Linked DNA regions of Drosophila melanogaster. Changing the gene in region 2 together with the main gene of any one other region gives a genetic interaction. Each region holds a gene or a part of one and is shown on either strand. Other genes may lie near its edges. The genes, in order: trx, EloA and corto.

The links.
Region 1: of EloA (region 2) and trx, changing one suppresses a phenotype caused by changing the other (phenotypic suppression), as found in Drosophila melanogaster (one study listed by BioGRID).
Region 3: of EloA (region 2) and corto, changing one suppresses a phenotype caused by changing the other (phenotypic suppression), as found in Drosophila melanogaster (one study listed by BioGRID).

The regions. Positions count from the first base shown.
Region 1 is NT_033777.3:14,282,644-14,289,598, reverse strand, and holds the start of trx (trithorax), read left to right. Parts: upstream 1-2,695; 5' UTR 2,696-3,390; intron 3,391-6,955. UniProt on the Drosophila melanogaster protein: Histone methyltransferase that methylates 'Lys-4' of histone H3 (H3K4me). H3K4me represents a specific tag for epigenetic transcriptional activation.
Region 2 is NT_033777.3:23,248,525-23,256,300, reverse strand, and holds EloA (elongin A), read right to left. Parts: upstream 4,739-7,776; 5' UTR 4,425-4,738; coding exon 4,344-4,424; intron 4,053-4,343; coding exon 3,465-4,052; intron 3,410-3,464; coding exon 3,032-3,409; intron 2,977-3,031; coding exon 2,759-2,976; intron 2,701-2,758; coding exon 2,606-2,700; intron 2,549-2,605; coding exon 2,349-2,548; intron 2,284-2,348; coding exon 1,992-2,283; intron 1,933-1,991; coding exon 1,853-1,932; 3' UTR 1,230-1,852; downstream 1-1,229. Other genes in the region: wda (will decrease acetylation), read left to right, coding at 1-193, 254-600, 678-807; Rad60, read left to right, coding at 5,077-5,134, 5,199-5,701, 5,761-5,874, 5,938-6,044, 6,100-6,278, 6,338-6,560, 6,619-6,709. UniProt on the Drosophila melanogaster protein: SIII, also known as elongin, is a general transcription elongation factor that increases the RNA polymerase II transcription elongation past template-encoded arresting sites.
Region 3 is NT_033777.3:5,080,932-5,089,509, forward strand, and holds the start of corto (corto), read right to left. Parts: upstream 6,142-8,578; 5' UTR 5,095-6,141; coding exon 3,442-5,094; 3' UTR 1-3,441. UniProt on the Drosophila melanogaster protein: Essential protein required for proper condensation of mitotic chromosomes and progression through mitosis. Binds to specific polytene chromosome sites, many of which are shared with the posterior sex combs (Psc) protein.

The DNA.
Region 1 (6,955 bases), 9.0 Mb from region 2:
GCTTTACGTTTGTCCCATGGCAACGACAGTAACCGTTCTCTAACTTAAGTAATTGTTGTGCATATATTTCACTTAATAGCAACTCTTCTTTTTATAATATTTTTGTTTATTTGTGTGTATTTCTATATATTCATCTTTTCGGCACTCACAAACACAGATACAAAAGCGGCAACGACGACGACGGCGACGACAACGCGATATATTTTATACGTTTTTTTCCAGCTTTTTCGCCGCTAAACGAAGGCACTAACTAAGTGAACTTAGCCAAAACAACTAAGAGCGCAGCAGGCGAGCGACCAACTCCAAGCAGCACTCAAAAACAAGTGACTGCTGAAATGACTGGCGAACAAGCGACGAGCGACGATTCTCCGCCGCCGGCGAGGTAGACTCTCTTCCAGAAGACTCTCTTTGGGCGTTCAGCTGGGCTCTCGGCTTTCGGTTTCTTCGGCTGGAATTGAAGAATGGCATTATCGCGCACTGGAAGTGCACACAAATACTCATTCGATTCGTGGATGTTGGTTTACTGCCTCCACTGCTTCCACTGCTCACTTCTCCAACCTGGAATTACTTTTCCAAGTACTCACCATAGGGGCCATACGAATTCGTTAGATGATTGTGCCTAATTCGAGTGATAATGGTGATAGCAAACACGTTGGACTAGCCAGCAGGGAAAGAGAATATTACAGGCACAGTGGTTGCATGGTGTGATGAACCATCCGAGTTTTACTTTACTTAATTTACTTTCCCACTTCAGATCACTCATACGCAGTGGTGTCCCTTACAAAAACCATGTTTTAACTGGATGTTGATTTTATTAGATTAAATTGATTAAATTAAGTTTATTAGATTTCATGACAATAGCTTGCATTTAATAATCTAAACTAAAATATTATATAGATGGCACACACTGTACGCAAATAATCGTATGTATGTAAGTATGTACCCGCAAACTTGTGATAATCATTTAAGCAGCTCTCTCTGTTTTTCTGGCACTCATCTTGATTATTAAATGATAACTGGATGACGGCGACAGGTGCACAAGTACAATGATTATCAAGCTCCTCGCGTTTTCTATTAGGTTTTATTGTTTTTTTTTTCCCGAGTTCGTCATAGGATTAATTAGCATGCATGATAAGCCCACGATCTGTGGAGGAATCCCTTTTTCAGCGATGAGCTGGAAATTTTCCAACCAACGCGGACGTCATCGTTTGCATTGCAGATTGCGGTAAAAGTTGAAGAACTATTTTTGGAAATCCGGTGATAGTGGCTATACGCCCGCTGCTTCTGCTGCTGCTGTCAAAACAAGACTTTCATTATGATTAGGCCAACGAATTCGTGTTGTTTGCGGCCCAGATAAGCGCCGAATGACTGTCACAGTACAAGGTAATCCATGTTAGATATACATATATTGTTATCGATACCCCTTATCACTGCGCACCTAAACGGACCGACTAACCATGAGGTGCGGAATGCGTCAGCTGCCAAAAACAAAGCTCGATCTGCCCGTGTTGCCAATAGCTGATAGTCCAAGTTACAAGGAGTTGATCAATTTGTTTATGTTTTCGTGTTTAATAGAAGGAATGCCAGGGAAATTGATTTAGTACCTATTATTAGCATTCATTTGAATTATTTCATTTACTAGCAATAATGGTTGTTATGATTATAGTTTCATTATTATTACTTTTTTTATTTTATTATATTATTTTGATAATATTTAGTTATTTATTATTTTTATTTACATAAGTAATTACTAAATTCAGGCCACAACTATTAACACGTCCTTCTTGGTGAACTTTCTATACTAATAAGGTTAATTGCAATGCCTTTTTGTGAGATAACATCTTCTGAATGTGGGTTACCATTTTTTGTCACTGAACAAGAAATTTACAGGCGCTCAGTGATTCAATTTCCTGCGAATTTTTTGTTCACTTCGGTGAAACGTCGTCGAAATGACGTCGATTTAAGCCACCGAATTACCGCCCTACGCTTCTCGCCCGGCAACAGTTGGATTTACATTGTGAATCAAATATGTGCTAATTGAGCGGACACGTTCGATTCGTTGACCAAAATCTATTTGTTTACATCGCGCCTTGCGAATGCATAAAGCCTTTGGGTGTCTTCCCAAAAAATTGGTTAATAACTTTGGCAAAGAACCAAATGCGAAGTGGACGCAGCTGACAAGTTGTTTATGTGTGTCCGCACATTATGGCTTCATTATGAAATCGCAACTAATCCGAACTTCATATACTGGCATAATGGAATTGCCAATGAGGTGATTGATATTTGCCACTTAGAATGTGGACTAGGAAAATCTCCTGTTTTTTAAATTGTTTACCGAAGCGGTTTCTTTTCTTTCCTTCTTTCCCAATAAGATACCGAAGGGTACTTAAAAATTATATTGAACGGAAAGTGTGATAATATTGGATATTCAAAAATTCAAGGTTAATGTGTTTTGTACACTCCATTCTAAACATTTTAATTACCACAAATTAAACAAATTAGCAGTTACACCGAAAGTGGTTTTAAATTTTGAAAAATACTGTTTTGTAGCAATACGCTTTTGTCTTTGAACTAGCAGAGACACATTCCGTATTTAACCAAGACACACACCCCGCAGAGCAGAGACACCCTACTAAAATATCGGTGTGACCAGGTCTGCACACACATGAATTTATTTGTAAGTCTCACAGTATTTTTTATAGTTATCGGCGCGGTCACACTGTCCGGTCGTTTTGCTTTGCTATTTCCATTTCGCTCGTCGAAAAAACGCAGAAAATGTGGAAAATAATTGATAAACTGTGCTAAATAGTGTGTGTGAATATGGTATGCAGTGTCTGCCAATGAAATTACATCGAATTTGTGGCGTTCAATTGTTAAAAAAGTGTGAAAATCGAGAGCAGAAAACCTGATTTCTGTGAAGAAGAAGCAGGCATTTTTCATCGTCGTAAAACCCATACATACAGACACCCGCACACACACACACGCGCATACGTAGCAACATATGTATATACGAAACGCGCGGGCGCGAGAGAGAGAACGAAATAGCAAGAGAGCGGGCCATTTCGGTTCGTGTGTGCGTGTACCTGTGCGTTTGTTTTGTGAGCGCAGAGCGACAGAGTGAGAGAGCGGCGAATGTGAGAGCCAAAGCAAAAACCAAGAAATAAGTGAACGAAAATAAAAACGAAAATCGCAATCTCCACCCCTGTATTTTGTGTTTACTAGTGTTTTGAGTGCGTGTGTTTCTGTCCCGTTTTGTTGTGAAATTGTCCCAAGTGTGGATTATTTTCGTTTTCGTATTATATTCGTGCACCAAGGATGCCAAATGGTAACAACAACCCCTGAAACGGTATCGAATCTCAATCTGCATCTGGATACACGCTCGACAGCAAGGTAATTATAAGATCGCCGCGATAAAAGGCGTCGCCGGCTGCCGATGAGTCAGTCTGCCGTGAATATATATCAATGGATATTTGCGCACATATATAAGCATGCCAGATATTGATTTGGAATGCACCCGGAGATACTGTACACCATTGCACACCACATCACATTATCATATCCCATCCCGTCGATTTCATATTCATAAAGTCCCCACTAACCTTTGTAGACCTCTAGTCAGTAGTTTAGATTGTTGTTTTTAGCTAGAAAGAATAGGAAAGTGTCGTTCAATTATTCACTCGATAATGCAAATTAGGCTGCACAACAAATACTGTTAGTTTATGGCCCACGCTGCGATTTATGTCTACAGTGGGACCTCGTTGAGTGCGACTAGCAGCAGATGGTAGCATTTTTGATTTAGTTTTGTTCTATTTTGTAGTACTAGTAAGCAAGTCTTGTTTCTGGAAAACCTGTTGATTTAATAACAACTTTCTTAACAACGAATTCATTAGTTAATATTTTTATTTTAATCTAATACTAACAGTTTAAAGAGGAGGCGAAATATTTTTTGCTTAAAATAAGTACATCTATTATCATATAATCATATGACTCCTGAAGTTAATCCATCAAATATTTCATTCTTATAAGAAACAATATTATTCGTTTTCTGTTAGCCAGGGGGATTTTACTGCAAGTTTCCATCTACGACGTTTTCCATTATTTACCACCCGTAAAACGAACGGTAAATGACAGTCGCTAACACACCCACACACACAGCGGCGAGCTATAATAAAGCATCGCCGATAAATAAAACTTAATGTGTGACCAGTTAATTGCTTTTGTTGTCGCCTCATTCTAAATCAAATCACTCTCTCGCTCTCACCGTCTCTTTCTCTCTCTCTCTCTCTCTCTATTGGGCTCACATGGCCAAAGTGTTTGTATAACTAAAATTGCTGTTTGTTTTGTTGCTGGCGCTGTTGAAACTTTTAATAAATTATACAATAAAATGAAAAACGATCTCAGCAGCAGCAGGAGCTAAATCGATTGCCGCTGCCGTTCGCTGCCTAGAAGCTGTTGAATAATTACAAAATAAATATATGTACTTGTACATTGGCTGTTTGAGTATTTGTTGACGCCATTTTTTTATTTGCCATCAAAAAGGCAAATTCCAAATCGGCTAGTGTCGATGCCTGTGTGTTTGTGTGTGGGAAACTACGCGCCAAACAACATTGAGGCGCAAAATCGCCAAATGAGTAATTGCGCATATTAAAATTCGCCTTTCAAAAGTCGACCAACTGAGCCGTAAGCTAATGCGAGATCTTGAATGGGAATGAATATGCGATGCGGGCCAACCGATGCTCATCCGAATGCATTTTCACGCTCCACTGCGTCCGCATCTCGTCGATCACGCCTCACAGAATCATTGCACATTTGAATTCGGATGGGTCTACTCACAAATACAAATTTTAAGATCATTTGATGGGACATTTTCAACGGGTTTAAATTAAAATATCCTTGTTTACATAATTCCTATTGTAAAATCGAAAAAAGTCATTTGTTTATTTGTTCTTCTTCTCCAAGATAATCTATTTTCTAAAACATGAGCACTACAATGCTTCGCTTAGCGAGCGATCACTGTAGGTGTGATTTCTATTTGCTTCGGTGGCCGAATTATTAGTTTGCATTGTTGCTACCAGCTAGCTGTATTTACACCTTTATTTACAGTGCGTTTTGAGAGGCTGCAGCTGCCAGCTGAGTTGAATTTATTTTACCTTGTGTTTCGTTACCTTTTACCACCACCACCAACACACAGCATAAACACCACGAAACCAGATGCCCACACACGCAAACAAACATTCGCGTACAAGTATTTAGTTCATGTTTCGTGGCAAATTGGACATCAAAATTGCGAGCTGCCAAGTCGGCTCTCAATATTCAATGCCCAATGCTCATGGCCCACAGAGATACAGATATCCATCCGACCATCTCTATCCATCCATCCCAACACCAATCCATGCGGCACCCACACCACGACACCTTTCGCACATTTATTGGCGCGCACATTTTTCATGTTTCACCTTTGGCTGCGTGTTTTGATTTACAAGCAAATACGGTGTATGTGTGTGTGCACAAGCATACAAACATACACTCCCCCGCGTGTGCTCTCTGCCGCTCTTTTTGTTTTTGGGGAATGGGGCTCACGCTCATTTGTTGATTCCACCTCTACAGCTGCTTTCTCTGGGCTCTCTCATTGTTGTACTGAGAAAAATTTTGCGGTTAATGTTGCCAATTATTGATCAAATAATTATGTATTAATTCAAAGAATATTTAATAAGTGGAGTAGGAAAAGTTATGGAGTGACTGTGGGGCTTAAAATTCATTTAATTTACCTCCCATTTACGATCATTTTTTTCAGTGATCATTTATAAACGACATTTTGGAATAATTTCATACAAATTTACATATTTTATGTGCGAGGTTGACTTCGATTTTTTCCAACTTGTCAATCGAGTTTGTGCAGCAGTGTGTGTGTGGCATGCAGATAGTTGTCTATTTGGTAGCTGTTTGTGTTGTATGTAAGTTGTTGTGATTGTCGTGCTCGTGTTTATGGCTTTAATCGTTTGCCAGTCGATTCGTTACCTGACTCTCTCTCCCTCTCTTTGACCGGGCCCCCTCCCACCAGTCTCCTTCTCCCTCCCACTCATTTGCCATCTCTGTCTGCTCTCGTGTGCTTGACTTTAATCTTCTCAATTACTCGCAATTTGCAAGTCTTGTGCTCGCCCCTCTTTGGCGGTTATTGGCATGCAGTGCGACAGAGACGGGGCTATGTGTACTGGGGTTTACTGGTACACAACAAAAAACGTATAATTAGATGTCAATTTTAATCAATTAAGCAATTTACGAGCAAGTTTTCATATCACTTCGCAGCTCAGACGAACATACTTATCATTGTGAAATAAAGTGGCATTATTTCGACATGCTGTCATCCGATTGATTTGATATGGGATTTGTTTTTAAACTAGATCTATTTATAGGTCAATAATGTTGGGAAAAGGTTTATAATCTGCTGCCAATCTCAGCAATCAATCATATTGCAACTCAAAAAGCATTCTTATACTTTGATATACTCTTCAAATCGATGTACATTATTCAATTAAAATATTTTATCTAATTTCGTTAAGTGCTCGTATTCAGTTTCATTTTGGTGGCCCATTCTTCTTATTCAAGTTATTTTACCTTTTGCGCTTGCTTTGATTTCTTAATCTTTTTACCATAATTGATGGCAATTAAATTAAAGGTGTGTGCGTTTGCTCTCTCTCTCTCTCTCTCTCTCATTTTGCTCCATACCCTCTTCTCCCCCGTCAAATTTGGTTTAGTATTTTCGTTTATCTTCGTGTTCGTTCGGCTGTCGATTTCGAGGAGACGGTGATGATGATGATGACGATGCATTCGAATTTCGAATTGGCCAGGCCAGTTTTACTTTGCCTCGTTGTTCGTTGTTTGCCGGGAGATTGTTCGTTTTGTTGGCCGATTGTCTCTTGGCCTCTTTGTATTAAACACCCCCATCCTCCTCCTC
Region 2 (7,776 bases):
GCGGTGCTGGCGTGCCCACAACCTGCATTGCGCCGCCATATACAGAAGTCACAACTACCCAATTTGGTGCTTGGACGAAAGTCCAGTGGGCCAATACGTGGTAACGGGTTCCAAGGATTTGAGTGCGCGCCTCTGGTCGCTAGAGAAGGAACATGCGCTCATAATTTATGCCGGGCATACACAGGATGTTGAGGTTGGTTTAACCAAAAATGTCTTTGAACTTTTAGTTATATATATTTTTTTTTTCTGACAGTGCGTTGCGTTCCATCCGAATGGCAACTACATAGCCACAGGATCGGCAGATCACTCCGTTCGCCTGTGGTGTGCAACCAGCGGAAAATTGATGCGTGTCTTTGCCGACTGCCGTCAGGCGGTGACCCAGCTGGCGTTTAGCCCAGATGGAAAGATGTTGGCTGCCGCCGGAGAGGAAACGAAGGTGCGTATATTCGACTTGGCCGCCGGAGCACAGCTGGCTGAGCTCAAGGATCACTCGGCGAGCATTAGTTCTCTTTCCTGGAGCACGCACAATAGGCACCTGGCCACAGCGTGCAGCGATGGTACCTTGCGATTGTGGGACATCAAGAAACTATCGCCCATGAGGTTAGTTATATTTGTGGAATGGAAACGGAGCAATTTGTTAATATTGGTAATGATGATTTATTTTGGTTGCTCCACAGTGACAACAGTAGTGCTGGAAGCTCATCATCAGCTACAACGAATCGTGTGCTTACTGTCAATAGTTCCTGCCAGCGCTTGGTCGATGTTTTTTACGGGACCAGCAAGACGCTCTACTGCATCGGCACTTAAAGAAGACGGTTGAAAGTTCAGCCCGAATTTAGACTTTCTAGTGACGACTTATGTTTGAAAATAATTTATTTTGTAATAAGTTGTATATTATTGTTACTATCGTGTGAAACAATTCTTTATATAAATAATTCTTTTGATTTAACAATCCTGGTAGCTTTCTTGTGGAATAAAACGAGTTGGTTACAGTGTAATGCCTTTACCTGCATCGTCTACTGGTCACAGCTAAAGAATGTCTTTCAAAACGAAGTCATGGCATAAGTAATGAGTGGCCAATTTCCACAAAAGTTGAAAAATGTGTAACTATTAAAAATAAGACGAGCATTCGAATCGAATTTCAATTGTTGAAGTGATTTTTTTTAATATATTAACATTTTACCCAATACCTAAAAATGTGCAAAACTAAATAAATCTAAAGGTAATATAGAATTTTTTGGTTGAATTTAATTAGCGATGCATTAAGAGACATTTTACTGTTCTTCAATAATTTAGGTAGTTTCATATAGGTTTAGGATTGTGTAAATACATTTATATACAGCTTGGAACCTCTATGATTTTGGACATACGCACAGCCCTTTTGAACAAAGAACATTGAACTTAATTTTTAAATAATGTTGGAGTGATCAGCCTTCTGATCGTAAGTTACATGCAATCAATGAATTGAACAACTATAATCAAATATCATAACTTATGTAAATGAGCTTGTCTACGACCCAGCGGGATGCAACAAAAGCTTTATCTTTATCCGGTTGGCTTAAATATAGTGACTTATACAGCGTAATAAAAGAGGGCAGAACATGAATAAATAATAAATAGCATGCATATGCTACGCATGCCGACAGCAGCAGTCTGATTCCACAGCGCACTGGGAAGTAGAAGGTCTAGTATCACAATGTCACTTTATTCAGACCTGAAAGTCTTTGCCAATAAAGTTGGAAGGTAATCCCACCGTGAATGCCTAATAGATCGAGGTTGCTGCTACTGCTGCTGCTTAAGTTGTCGCTGAAGAAGTTGAGTATAAGATTGTAGCTATAATGAGTAAGCGCATCTATCGTTTGAGACGTCCGCGCATAAACTGCAAGGTCTTCGCCATTAGAGGTGCCTTCTTCGATCGCGCTGGTCCAGCCCCTTTTCAATAAAAATTATAGGTAAATTTAATTCTTAACCACAATCATTACAATACTTACCCACTTGGGCCGTGTCCCTGGCAGCGGCCAGCACACGTAGTCGGGCATCGCCCACCTTGGCTGCATTTGGAGTCACGCTGGACAAGGCGGCCACTCGGGCGGCTGGAGTGGCAATTAGCTTGCCCTTGGTGCCATATTGCTCTTGCTTGCGCTGCACACTACGCGGCGGCTTCACCATTGAGTCCACAAAGGCCAATTGCGTCTTGCGCACAGGCGCCTCGCTTATCTTTTGCGATGCCTTGATGCTCTCGGCCAGAATGCTAAGTTTGCGATCCTTTTCCTCTTGGCAGCGCTAGAACGAAATTTTTGTGTCAGCTTAGTTTAGTTTGCATTAATTTAGGGTCTTTGCGTCCCTACCAAAAACATTTCGCGCCACGTTTCCATCTCTTCACGCCGCTGACTGCGACAGTGACGTTGGACATGCTGTTGCCATAGGACATCACTGTCATCCATTAAATAAGGATTGTACTCCTCAAAGTTAAGCAGCTGCTGGGGGGTAGCTCGCTCCAAAACGGGACGTAGGACCTCAAACGGAACGCCACCCGTATACTCCAATGCTGAAAAACAATTAAGATGGTTATTTACATTCGATATGACCATTAGTAAGATCTTACCATCAATATTCTTTTGCAGCACGCGGGTGCAGAGATCAAAAAGGGAAGGGACCTGCAGGATTTGACCAGTTCTCACACCCGAATAGATCTTGGTGCTACAAAGTATAAAAAGTTGATATACTTTGTGCATCACATTATAATATCCTAGCTCACCGCATAGTTTTGGAAGAGATGCCCTGCGCTAGAGCTTCTGACTCATTAAAGTATCGTGATGCTTGCGCCTTGTGTGAGCCACCCTGGTTAAAGACGACGTCCATAACTGTCTGATTTAATGGCATGGGCTTGTAGTTATTGGATATGGTGGGAAGTTCTAGTGCAATGTTTGGATCCAAGGGCTCCAGCTTAGCTGTGGATGCCAACAGTTCGGGTTTCTAAAGAATAAACATATGTTACCACAACTTATAAAAATGAATTTCTACTAATTACTTTGGAGGTCGGTCGACTGCTAGTTGAGAGTGCCTCTTTAGATGACCCAGCAGTCGTAGGTGCTGATAGAGCTGACGAGGAAGGGGCTGCAGTTGGCTTGGCGACAAACTTGCTCTTGCTGTTGCTGCTGCTCTTCTTGCTACTTATGGGTATGTTTAGCAGACCAAGAACATCGTCAAAATTTGCGCCCATGCTGGAGTCAAAACCATCAGCGGAATCTTCCTCAGATTTCGATTTAACTTTTGGTATCTTTGCTTTTTGGGACTCCTCCTCGTGGCGTGGGGGACTATGGGAGCGCTTTGATGACTTGGAGGACGATGATTTGTGTTTGCTCGACTTGTCTTTGACTTCCTTTAATTCACTGTGAGAAGTTTTGTCCTGAAAAAAAAATGCATAAGAACAATAACCACTTTTGATCAAGAGGAAAGCATACCTTTTCGTGCTTGCTTTTGGTGTGTTCGCTCTTGTGGCTCTCGGATTTGCTGCTCTTGTGACTGCTGCTGGATTTGCTGGAATCCTTTGACTTGTGCTCGCCATTTGACTTCTTTTCTTTGTGCTCCTTAGCTTCCTTCTGACCCTCCCGATCTTTATCTCTATCCTTGGATTTATCGTGGCGAGAGCTCTTGTGCTTCTTATCCGAGTCAGACCTACTCTTGGAGTGAGATCGGCTGCTGCTGCTACGCTCATGCTTGGTGCTCTTGGCATGCTTTGACTTGTGCTTGCTGGTGTTCAAGTCCTCGCCGCTGGATGAGTTGCCGCCCTTGTTCTCCTGGTCGGGATCCTCGTCGCTGGACTTGGTCTTGCCCGAGTCCTCTTCGTTATGTATGGCTGTAGGCGTAGATGCGATCGAAGGGTCCTCCTTCGCCACCATTGCCTTCCACTTGGTTACCAGCGTCTTGGCCGCCACGCCAACTTCCCCGCTGATCTTGCGCAGGGCATTCACCGTCTTGCCAATTCCCGTTTCCTGCAGGTGCTCGAATTTGATCGGCAGGTTGAACAGCTTGGTGATGCAGTGCAGCAGCTGCTCGACGGGAGAGCAGGTAGCGAAAGAGGTGATTAAGAAAGATTAGCAAAAGACCGTGTGAGTGAAAGGTCAGCGGAAAAGAAGAGCGACTTAAAGTCGAGAAAAGTGACCTTGGCGGAGGTACATATGTTTGCGAATTTCACAAGGTTAAGTAAGGGAAAGCCAGCCAGGTCAGGTACATAGGGGTGATTAAATGGTTAGGAAAATGGGGGACTTGAATGATAGGAAGGCAGTAAGCAGTGGATCAAAAGGGATGCGATGGCGGTGCCAATGAGGGTAATAGCTCACCCGTTGTTCGTCCTCGCCGTGCTTCTCAATGCTGCGCTGGTAGTGGCGCACCACGTCCAGCAGATTGCTGGTGGAGGCCATCGCGTCGTCTCAAAGTATTCCACGCAAAATGAAATGAAAAAAATGGCACGCAGGCAGACTTTGTCGTCTCTTCCCGTTTTCTTTTTCTCACTTTCAGTTTACTGATTTTTTTTTAGGGAATCCAGGTAAACACACACGCACCCAAGGGCAAACACACGCACACGCACAAGTGCACACACACACGCGGAAAAGCCTCTGGTCGCGAGGCTCTAAGTTATTTTCAATAGCATTACGGGCCTTTATTATAATACATTCGATTTTTGCTTTTGCCAGGCCAGCAGCGTTGGAAACTAAATGAGATTTGCTTTTGACGGCGTGGCGCTTGTCAACACTGGCCAAACAGCTGTCGGCCAGAGTTGCTCTACGTCACAGTAGGCTTGTACAAACATTTAGTGAATTCAATCGTGATAATACAAATAATTAACATGTCCAAATCATCGATACACACATTAAATAAAATCGAATTGTAAATTACATTTGACTACCAGCAAATACTTTGATCGTGGTCTCGTGTCGTGTGGCTACCCTGGTCACAGTAGTTATCGGATATCGATTTTCCTTGCAACCACTGTGGCGTCTATTTGGTTTTGTGTTTGTGTTTATTGTTTGGCGCCGTTATTGGTTTATTACTGACTGTTACTGAGTGCCCACGATGTCCGACGACGACTGCGATATATTCAGTGCTGCTCGCAAGCGGATTCCCGAAATAGGTTAGCTTTAAACTGCAGAAATCCAAGTTTTTCCACATACCTTCGCTTTTGTCGTCTTTATCAGCTTTGCCCAAGAATCCTTACAATCTTGGCAATGATTCCTTCTCCAAGGAGGTGGACTACGATTTCATTGAAGACCTCCCCAAGAAATCAACTAAAACTGGCAAACGAAAGAACCCTGCAGCGACGCGGAAAAATCCACCCAAAAGTCAGGATGATGCTTCGCCACCAAAACAGGCAGAACATAAGGCTGTGGAGCCAGAAGAGGATATGAGAACAGAGCGCTCCCTATCACCGGTATCCCTGTTGATATTGGAGATGGAAAAGAAAAATGGCCAGCAATCGGATGTGGAGAAGCACGCCAAAGAAAATGACGTTGGTCCTGTGGCCAGACGCACACGGTCATCGTTAAATAGGTCAGAAATGGCGCCACCACCTGTTTCACCGACTGTGGAGGTGCCCACACAGACGAAACCAAAGAAGCGCGGCCAAAAAAAGAGAACATCTCTAACAACCACAACCAGCAACTCTGCTTCGATGGAGGTCTCATTGCCAAGCATTGTAGGTGTATGTTTGAAATTTCGAATAGAGATCTTGGGTATTTTCTAATCTCTTCATATTTGTAGCAGAACAATGAGCACATTAGCAGACGGTGGACGTTGGCCGAAGTTGCAGCCCGTTCCAAAGTGGTGGACAGTATTGATCTGGTATCTGCGGTCGCTCCCCGAGTGGAGGGATTTGTAAGTCCCTAGAAAGAAGTTGTACTATTCAATAAGGCTAATATTATACTTATTTCTTCACAGGTTAATCTAGACTCTGAAGACGAGGGTGAAAAGGAGGCTCCTCCTGTCGTAGAGGAAGAAAATATTTTTGATAACGATAATCCCACAATAGAAGTAGCTTTGTCGTGGTAAGTTTTAATATATTTATCCTTTTTCGTGATTAATATAAATATTTTTATGCAGGCTTGGCGAGATCCAGATTTATAAATTGCGGCAGCACCAAAAGTTTAAGCATCTGTTCAAGGAGTTAGCATCACGCAATGGGATAGATGAGAATGATATAACGGTGGATATGTACTATAACTTCGTTGGACCTGAGGATACGCCGCACAGCATTGGTCTCAAATCATTTCATACGCTCAGTAGGTGTCCTCTATTCAGATATATATTATTATTTGAAAATTTCTCAACTATTTAACAGCTGGCCATCCAACAAAGAGTCACAATAATAACAACGTGGCTGCTAAAATTGACTACAATCCAGAAGCTCTTTGCCGGAAACCTAAGAAGTTTCAAGTTAAAGTACAGGCGGATAAATGGAAGCATCCTTTGGTGATACCCATGAAGAAAACTGATAATTTCAAAATCATATTTATTAAGTGTGCTGAGGAGTTGAACTGTGATCCCCGAACCATTAAATTGTTGTAAGTACTAAAAGCTGGAAAAAGTAGAGACAATCCACTGAATTTGAGGTGATTTCAGTTTTGACGGTGACTTGTTGGATCCAAATGATACGCCCAATAACCAGGATATGGAGGGCAACGAAGTTATAGATCTTAAAATAAAGGCTTAAATTTTGAGCAAATTTATCTATTCTAGCCGAAAAATATTTTTAAAAGAAATTATATTAATGTTTTGTTTACGATTAGTTAATTGCTGTGCAAGATTTATTTTATTATCAAATGTTTCTATGTATGATTGAATATTTCTAATTTTCTTTGTACTTTTATTTGTTTCATTTGGGATGATTTAAGGAATATATTATTTGTTTTTCTACATTGCAGTCACAAAATTCCATTACATTGCGTACAAAAACAACAAAAGCGTATTCGCACTTCGACTAGATTTCAGCAATTTGTCACCAAGTGGAGCAGCGGGCAACTTCCAAAAAACCCTCAAGCATTCATTATACACCCCTAATATTTTGTTTATCTAGCATATAGCGCACTCACACAGAGCTGGAAACAGATCCCAAATGGTTGTTTATATTGGCAGGAGGAGAGCGGATGCTGCTGAGGGGGATGGTTTGTGGTGGGTTCAGTAGTTGCCTCCTTCCACCGGCTTTGCTCTCTCTCTCTCTCGCTCTCTCGTTGCTCTCTGTTCCTTATTCTTGTGCGGCTTTCCTTGGAATTTCACTGCACAAATTCTGACACACGCAGGATAATAATCTCTCTCAACTGAGAGCAACTGAGAGAGGAAAGCTCTAATGGGAAAAGCTCTCGCCAGCTGAAGGGAATTTCCTCATTTCGCTTACTTTTCAATCAGAAAGAGTTTATCCTTCGTGCTTGATGGACGCAACATTTAATTCGCGCTTTTTCTGTAAAACAAAGAAAACCAAAAAAGTAATTTTCAATCGCATGAAACTCATTGTTATTGAACTCCGTTTGTTTTCCAATTTGTTTAACCCCAATTCCGACGCTCGTTGTGTGTTTTTGTAACGAATGCAGTGAATATCAAGTGAAACGTACAACCAACTTGTGCACATATATATTATATGTGGTAACCAACAGTGCTTCTCTATTTGGCGCCTAAAAACGGAAGGATACTCGTGGCTTAAATCATCAGCTCTAGGTAAAATACATCCTCCGAATCGTGTTGTTTGCATTGCCGCTTTGTGTAGACATCCCGAGTCCTCGGAGG
Region 3 (8,578 bases), about 18 Mb from region 2:
TTACTTTTGTGTAGCAGTACGAGTGGAATTTAAAAGTAAACCACTCTTGCAACTGGGTGCTTCTGTTTTTCATGCCTTTTATTTGCATGTTTTTCTTCCGCCGATTCGGTTTGGGTTTATTTATCCGTTGATGACTTTTAAATGGCAGCTGTTTCCCGCCCGTCGGCAAAAAAAAAGAAAAAAAAACACTACCAAATGAAGTCAATTAAAGGAGAAAACCTTTTAGTTGACCTATCCCGCTCCAAAAGGCCTGCATTCAGTCGGACTAAGCGGCTAATCGAATATGGACATGGAACTCGCGTTTCACAGCGCCGAGTCAATTGAGTCACCTGCTAACTCTTAAGTGGTATTCATTCGAATTGTTTTTTAAGCTCTAATTAAATCTGTATGTGGGAATTGCTGATAGGGAAATCGAGGCTCCCGACTATAACCATCCATTTGCGAGTTAAAGTGTTCCTTCGTAATTATATTATGCAATGGCAATTAAGTATGCTCCTATTATTCCAATCTCAAATTGTACCCATTTGCTACATTGTCTTGGACGTAGTCCGAATTTGTTGAAAAACTAACTGGGGAATCTAGGCGGGTACCACAATCCCTGCAGTAAGATAATCCACAAAAAAAAAAAAAAAAAAAAAAAACCACAAAACTAACAGCCCTCGAAGTAACCACTTGATCACTGAGCTCATTTTCAGACATGGGGAAATTTGTCGAGTAACGAAAGCACTCTAGTTTGGAACTCGAGGGACTGGCCATTATCTGCGATGCCCACACATGGAACAGTAATCACATCAGATACGAGTGTGAATCCAAAGTGCAGCTTAGTAATCCCAGACGAGACGAGACGATCCGAGCTGAGCGGCACCTGCCTAACGCGGCAACGGGGCGGATGAGTGACGACAATGGCGATGACCTCGCATTCGAATTGGGGCGGTGGGGCGGTGGGTTACAGGGGCCATCACTCACCCAGCCGCATGCAAATGGCCCCAGCAGCTGATAGTTGATTGCTCAAACGAAATGAAAACAAACAACCGACGCTTTCAGCTGGAGCTGGATCCGATCTCCAGTATATTTTAATTACACTTGTGTGAATGCCGCCGGCGGCAATTGAAATATTTTTCCGTCTCTAATCTACGACCAATTTAATATGAATTGAATAAGTGAATAGATGAATCCCGCGGAGAGTGCGGCACCATTCAGGAAGCAGTGGCTTGTTTAGATTGGGCGTGCAAGCGGGACTACTATATATGGAAAGTGCCCAGTGGAGAGTGATTTCTAAGGTTTCTTGCAACAGATGCTGTTGAATGGGCTTCCACGAAGGATGGAGAAATACAAATGTGCTCTAAATCAGATTCATTTATGTGTTAAATGCAATTCACAGCAGATGAATAAAAGTCAAGCTCCCCTAAATAATGTTTTTCCTAATGAAATGACTTGTATGTTGAATAAGTTATGGATTAATATGTGGTCTGGCCATTTCTTCGACTAACCGATGCGTCTAAACTGGTCCCACAAATTCCTGCAATGGTTCCGTCGTTCTGCAATTGGACTAAAGTCTTTTCTTTCTTGAATCTCGAGTGGATTGCGACCGCATGGTCGTGGAGTAGAGTCGGACTTGTTTGGATGTAGGGCAGCCTAAAGCGGACAGATGAGTCAGTGCCGGTCCCCCGGCAGCGGATGTCGTTCATTTCAGTTGAAAACTCTTTTTTGGCTTAATTAATTCGACGATTGGCTTAATGGCGCGCTGAATCCTCAGCGGGTTTTCCTGCCCATGCATAAATTACTCAGCTATTTGCTTTCCGGAACCCAGCAACTCCCATGGAACCGCGCCAATCGCCTCGACATGCAATCAGTAATGAAAGCACACACTTTCCCGAGGGACCTTGGGGGCGAGCAAAAACAATTTCAGCTGATAACATCTCGCGTTTCCTGGCCACTCGAAACCATTAGATTTTGCTGCGTTTTCACCTCGCAACAAAGACCAAAATTAGAGCCGTAAGCACTGAAGGCAAAGGCAGTTCGGTTATATCACTGTAACGAATGAACTTCGAGAATGCTGGTCTTTGAAAGGTAAGTACAGTGAGGCCGCTGGTGGCGTGAACAAGAACGTATTTAAACTTCTAATCGAAAACAAAGGCGTAAAAGCGAAATAACCGACGTCGTGGAACACATATATGTACATAGAGTGGAAATCAACATCTCTCGATATCGTAGTGTGTTGCCAGATTTAGTCCTTCAACAGCTGGCTCAAATACATTAAATAGTATATAAGTATCTAAGTATAAGATATTAATAGTGAAATTTCAAGAGACGTCCTCATGTCTAGCCATAAATCGGAGCCCTGTAAGTTTTCGAAATTCGTCTCAGCTCAACGGTTTGCCATTAGCGAGGGACCCCTGTGCTGTGCGCCGAGGTCACCCCAACCCGCTGCCCGGTCCTCCATCAATGACAATAATCAATCACGGCTCACCGCAGAGGAGGAGGCCATGAGGCGGAGCAGAATGAGGAAACAAAGGGAGCGAAGATGAAAATCGAATCAAGGCGAACAGAAAGAGGAGTTAGTCGGTCGGTGGTGGTGGGAAGTGTGAAAAGTTGGCCACAAAAGCCGACGGCAAGGGGAGTTTTCCTTGCCGCGGCCAAATCACTTGAACTATGCTTTTCTTGCTCGCTACGTTAATTGAAAACACAATTTACTTAATTTTTGCATATCTCGCTTCAAATTACGTTGCATAATTTTGAATAATTTTTATTCGTATTTTTTGTGTTGCTTTTTTCTGCTTTACTCTTCTCTCTCCATCGTTTGGTAATAATTTTCCTTTCATATTTTCGTATTCTTTCGGTAAATGGTTGTTGTAACATTTTGCTGATTTGTAATTAAATATGCGTATGTGTAACTTTTAGCAATTGTTTTGTTTAATGTTGCTGCCGTTGTTGTTGTTGTTGCAGTTCTTGTTTTTGCCGTTGTTGCAGTTGTTATTGTTTATGTGGTTGGCTTACACAGAGCGGTTGCTGTTGTTTCTTGTTGGTTGTTTAATTTAAATTAAATTAATTACTAAAATTATTTTATAACAAATATCACTACAATAGTTTGCATTTTTTTTTTTTGTTGTTGTTTGTTTTTGTATCGTTTATCAATTACTACCATTACTAAAAGAAAAAAAGATCGCTCATTTCCTCTTTTCTCACCGTCGGACAACAATTTCTCATAGCAGCTAGACAGAATTTTGTTTCATCTCTTAATATTTTTAGAGTTAATTACTTTTGATTCTAAAAGCTTTGATGGGTGTGTATATATAGTACTGTTTTAGGGGAGGATCTATTAATTATTCCTTGAGGCGGCTATTTCATCGACGCGTACTTGGTAGGCGCCTGTCTCATGTGTTGCAAGTTGCTGTTGCTGCTGCTGATGTTGCCGTTGTCCTGGTTGCTGCTGGTGCTGCATCACACGTTGTAGCAGGAGATCTGCGGCAGGTGCTGGAATGTGGGCGTGGCCGCCACCGCCGTGGCCGCCGAACTGAACGGCACAAACGAGGTCTGGCCGGCGGCAGCGGCGGCGGCTGCCAAGTTGAGCGAGGCGGCCGCCGCGTACGGGTGCATCCGCTGGGACCGCAAGTACTGGCGGTACTTTCCGCTCAACTTGTCGGTGGCCGTGTTCACTGCTCCCGTCGCCCCCGCACCACTCACCGCCCCGCCTCCGCCCACCGACGCCGACCCGCCCGAGGCCGCTCCGGCGGTGGGCGTGGCCGAGTAGAGGCGCATGGGATTGGTGTCAGGGCCGGCCTGATAATTGCTAGGAACTGTGGCCATCGGCGAGCGGTCCATCAGCATGGACGTCGCGTCCCACGGCGGCGGAGGCAGGCAGTGTTGCTGTTGCTGCTGTGGCTGCTGCTGCTGCACCTGCGACTGTTGCAGCTTCCCCGAGGCGACCGCCGTCTGTCCGTAGCTGCCGGAGATCATGGCGTCCCGCTTCCCGCCCCCTGCTCCGCCGCCACTACCCTTGGCCGCGTAGTGGCTGTGGGGATGCAGCATGTGGTGCGGCGTGAGGGCGGTGCGGGCGGCCAGCGCAGCCAGTTGATCCCACTGGCCGGCGGCTGCGGCGGCTATCGAGGCCTGGGCCGCAGCTGCCGCCGCTGAGTTGGCTGCATGGCTCTGGCTCTGGCTCTGACTTTGGCTTTGGCGTTGGCTTTGGTTGCTGCTGGCACGTTGCTGCTGCTGCTGCTGCTGTTGCTGCTGCTGGTGCTGGCGGACCAGACTAGACTGTTGCTGGGGATAGTGGGCCTGCTGCGACATCTGCGACATCTGCTGGTGCTGTTGCCGCAGTTGCTGCTGTTGCTGTTGGTAGCGTTGCTGCTGTTGTTGCTGCTGCTGGGCGCTCGTAGCCGCCCGGGCTCCACGCCGCGCGGCACTACTGCTGGGCGCCGTGGCCACCGCCGCACCGCTTCCGCCTCCGCCCAGGGCCGCTCCGCTGCTCAGCGAGCTGCTGCTCACCGCCCGCGCGGTCGCATGCATGTTGTTCACGAACGGGCTGCGCCGCTGCGACTCCATCTTGCGGAAGTAGCACGGGTGGATCATCAGCAGGGGCTCCACTCTCTGGCCCGCCGGCGGCTTGGGCTGGTTGGGCAGCTCGTACTCCACGCTGCAGTCCACGTGCAGCGGGATGCTGTAGTCCTTCTGCGGCGATGGAGCGGGGGCTGCGTTGCTGTTGCTGCTGGCAGTCTGCTGCTGCTGCTGCTGCTGTTGCTGCTGTTGTTGCTGTTGTTGTTGTTGTCTGCTGTTGGCAACCGCGGCGGCGACCTGCGTTTGGGTCGCCGCCGCATGGCTGTGGCGCGAGTTGCTGCTGCTGCTGGTGTTGGCGGGCTGGTGGTGATGGCGGTGGTGTTGCTGCTGCTGCTGCTGTTGCAGCAACTGCTGCTGGTGGGCAGCCACGGCGGCGTGGTACATGTGTTGCTGCTGCTGCTGGTGATGATGCTGCTGCTGCGTCTGGCTGTGCTGCTGCTGTTGCTGCTGCTGTTGCTGCTGCAGGGCGGACAGGGCCGACATGCCGTGCGACAGGGACGACATGTCGTAGTTGGCATAACAGGCGGCCATCGTCATTGCTGTATTCAGGGGATCTTTTAGCTTTTGCTCTCGTTTCGGTAACACAGAATTCGCTTTTGGTTTGCTTATTTACTTAGATTTAGATTTTTATCATTTTGCGGATGTTTTTCGCTTTCTTCACTTTCGAAAAAATTCACTTTTGTGGTTTTATTGGCACTGGTAATCCAAAAAGAGCGGCTAACGGTAAATTTGCCGCTGCAGGTAATCCGTGAGTTGGTTGTTGCTTTTGTTTTTGTGTTTTGAGATAGGAGGAACCTTAATCCATATGTGTGTTTGCTTTGCTTTGGAATTCGCTTTAACCCGTATAATATTAGCTGCTGTTCGCGTGTTTAACTTTGTTTCGTTACGTTTATTGTATATTTATTAGCGTTTTAGTCAGTCTTTGTTTGGTTTTACATAAATGCAGCGAACAGTTGGAGCTGCTGGGTGAGTGTGAGTGCGAGTGGGTGCGCGTGTCGGGGTGAGTGAACAATCCACGTGTGTTTTCAGTCTTTTTGCCCGTTTTTGCTGGCTAACTTAACCGTTGCTTTTTAGCTACTCCTTGTCTTCTTTCCATTCGGTTATGCTCTGTTCTGTTCTTTTCTCGCGGGGGTGAGTTCGCGGAGTAGGTAACTTGTTAGTTCTATGCGCAATAGAACTGCCGAACGAACGTCTCATCCACTCCGAAGAAAAACGCGATCTGAATTGTAGTTTCTGCTTTGTAGTTTTGCTGCCGCCGCTTGCTTCTCTGCCGCGGTCTCTGCCGACGTTTGTAAGCGCAGCGAGTATGCTGAATACGGAGCGCGCACGAAAAACAGCTGTTGGCTAGACGCCTACGCCTGTGTGTAGGCTTTGCTTTTATTGTTTTTGTTGATTGTCTGCCGATTTACTTATTTTTCGTATCACAATTGGCTGCGTTGCGTTTGTTTTTGGGTTTTAACTGCGTGTTCACCTTCGACGCGACGTTGAATCTTCTTAACTCTCTTCTTCGTTAATTACGTGCCACAGACCACGCTTTATCTCCTCCTATGTCCGCACGAATCGAGCTCTTTGAAGCGACTGACTCGAAACGTCGTCTTCGCTCCATTCTGCCGACGCCTACCTGCTGTTCGGCACAGCTGATGTTCCGTGACGTATTCAGCACACACACAGTCGCAGGAGACGAGCGCAGAGTTATTGTTATTGTTGCTTTCCTATATAAATTGCATTCAATGGCCGCTCTCTCTCCCTCTCTGTGACCGCTCTCTCTGTGCCTGCGTGTGTGTGTGTGGTATACATTCAGCCATGTTACTACACGGCGGCCATCTTTACAACTGCTTTGGTCGAGACAGAGAGAGACAAAGAGGCGAGAAAAGAGCGAGAGAGCGCACATTATTTTGTAATACGATGTCTTTAACCGTTTTAGTGCTTTAATTTTTTACGGCAAACGCATTTTTGGGAGCAGCTTTATGGGGTCGTAAAAGCAGATGGGTTCTAAAGGGGTTAACGGCGAGTTGAGAGCTAATTGAGCCGCACTAAAAACGGGGAGTTGAATGAATCTATCAGCATCACCTGGTTAAAATGGGAATGGGTTATTTTTACTTATGTATTTCTGAGCACTTTGGTACACCCCTAAAACTTAAAACCCATATAATATCAACATAAGCAGTGTGATCTCCACACAACTGCCTAAAAATCCTCTGCGACGCAACTTCGAACACACCTACGTAGTTCCTTAATATAAGAATACAACAAATACCCCAAGAACCTCTCCGGTTTTGGAATACGAAAGCTAAACTGCGCACTGAGAGACTTTCTGCAGACCAAAAAAGGAAAACAAATTGCAAAAACTCAAACAGACAGCGATATTAAACATTTCTGTACTAAAAAATGGGCAATTTAAGTCAGGAAAGGGCACTGTCTCGCTCGCACACACACAGCGAGAGAGCGAGAGAGAGTGAGAAAACGGCTGGGAATTACACACATTGTAATAAATAAGGAAGGTCGTTGCCATAGCAGCCGCCGTTGGCGTCGTTTTTTTCCCCCCATTTTGTTGTTGCTGCAAGAGAGTGGCTCGCTCTGTGGGGCTCATTCAGCAACTGCTGATAACAAATCAGCTGTTTTGTTATTTGGGGAGGTGTGTCCGCGTGCGAGTGTGTTGGTGAGTCTGGCTGTCTCTCTTGGTACATATTTGTTTTTTTTTTTCTCAAAGCATATGTTTGTTGGAATCGCTGTTGCAGCTGTTGTTGTTGTGGGGCTGAAAGTTGTTGCTGTCAAGTTGCCATTGCATTTCAGTGTTGTTGCTATTCGATGTGCAAGTAAAATGAAAACCTATGTGGCGGATTTGCATTGAAGCATGTCTTTTAATCCAAAAAGTAAAACTAATGCTTCTTATTGTCTACTAAAAACTAATAATTCGTATTATGTGCTAATTATTCTAAGACTCTTAAGAAAGAACATGATTGGTGCATGTATACAAGTTAATGGATACTATTGTTTGATAGCCTTAATGATTTCCTGCTTTTCTACTGTTGTTGCCATGGTTTTGTTAATGAATTGTCTTCATTGCATCTGGGATTGTGGATGGTTTTTGGAGTCTGGTTTGGGTTAATATCGACACTATAGTGTTGTAGCTTTATGCCGACTTTTATGGTGCTGTCGCTGCTGCTTTTAAGCCTTTTCTTTATTGGTGCTTCCGCCGTATTATTTGTATGGGTTTTGGATCTGATGTAGCTGCCAGCTTTGCACTCGTGCGTCCCTTTGTGTGCTTATTTCTGCTCTGCTGTGCTGTTTTTTTGCAGCTTTTTTCTGCCTTTGGTTGCTTTCTGGATTGATGTTGCTGCCGTGATGTTGCTGCTTGCGTGCTTAATGACGAGTCGGCCGCATTACAGTTTGATTACGGGCCGCCAATTTGGAAATTACCGAACTGCTTGAATTAGCGGGCCAGTCGCTCTGCTGGAGAGCCTATGGCTCAACCCCAACCCAAGCGAACGGCCAGAACGAACAAAAACGGGCAGCAGGAAATTGGTCAAGAGGGGCAACAGACAAAACGACAACTGCCAAGACGACGACAATGCCTGAAGTGGTATAGAAAACTTCGAAATTAGAAATTCCAGACAGATAATGGTTTACTCATGTGGGGTTGGCTGAATGCAATAAAATGCGCCCTTTGTGTTTTCATAACTGGTCAAAATACTATTTATTTCCGCTGTATTGCACTGAACGTGCATCTTGCAGGTATAAGTTCAAGTAAGTTGCAAGTAGATTCTACTTGATAGGATCAGGTTATAGTTATCATAGTTTTCGCAGTCTCTTACTGCAAGCCATGGACAAAATGAGTTTCTTTGTATCGGGGCTACGATCGACTATCGAACTCGGAAGCAGTGAAATGTATAATTTGTATTATTTTAGGGCAGCTCTATGATAACATTCAGCATTCTTGTTTGTCCCCAGGACATTTTTTTGACCGTCTGTTTTGGGATCTGGCATTCACTCATTAAATCGGTCCAACCCACATTTCCTG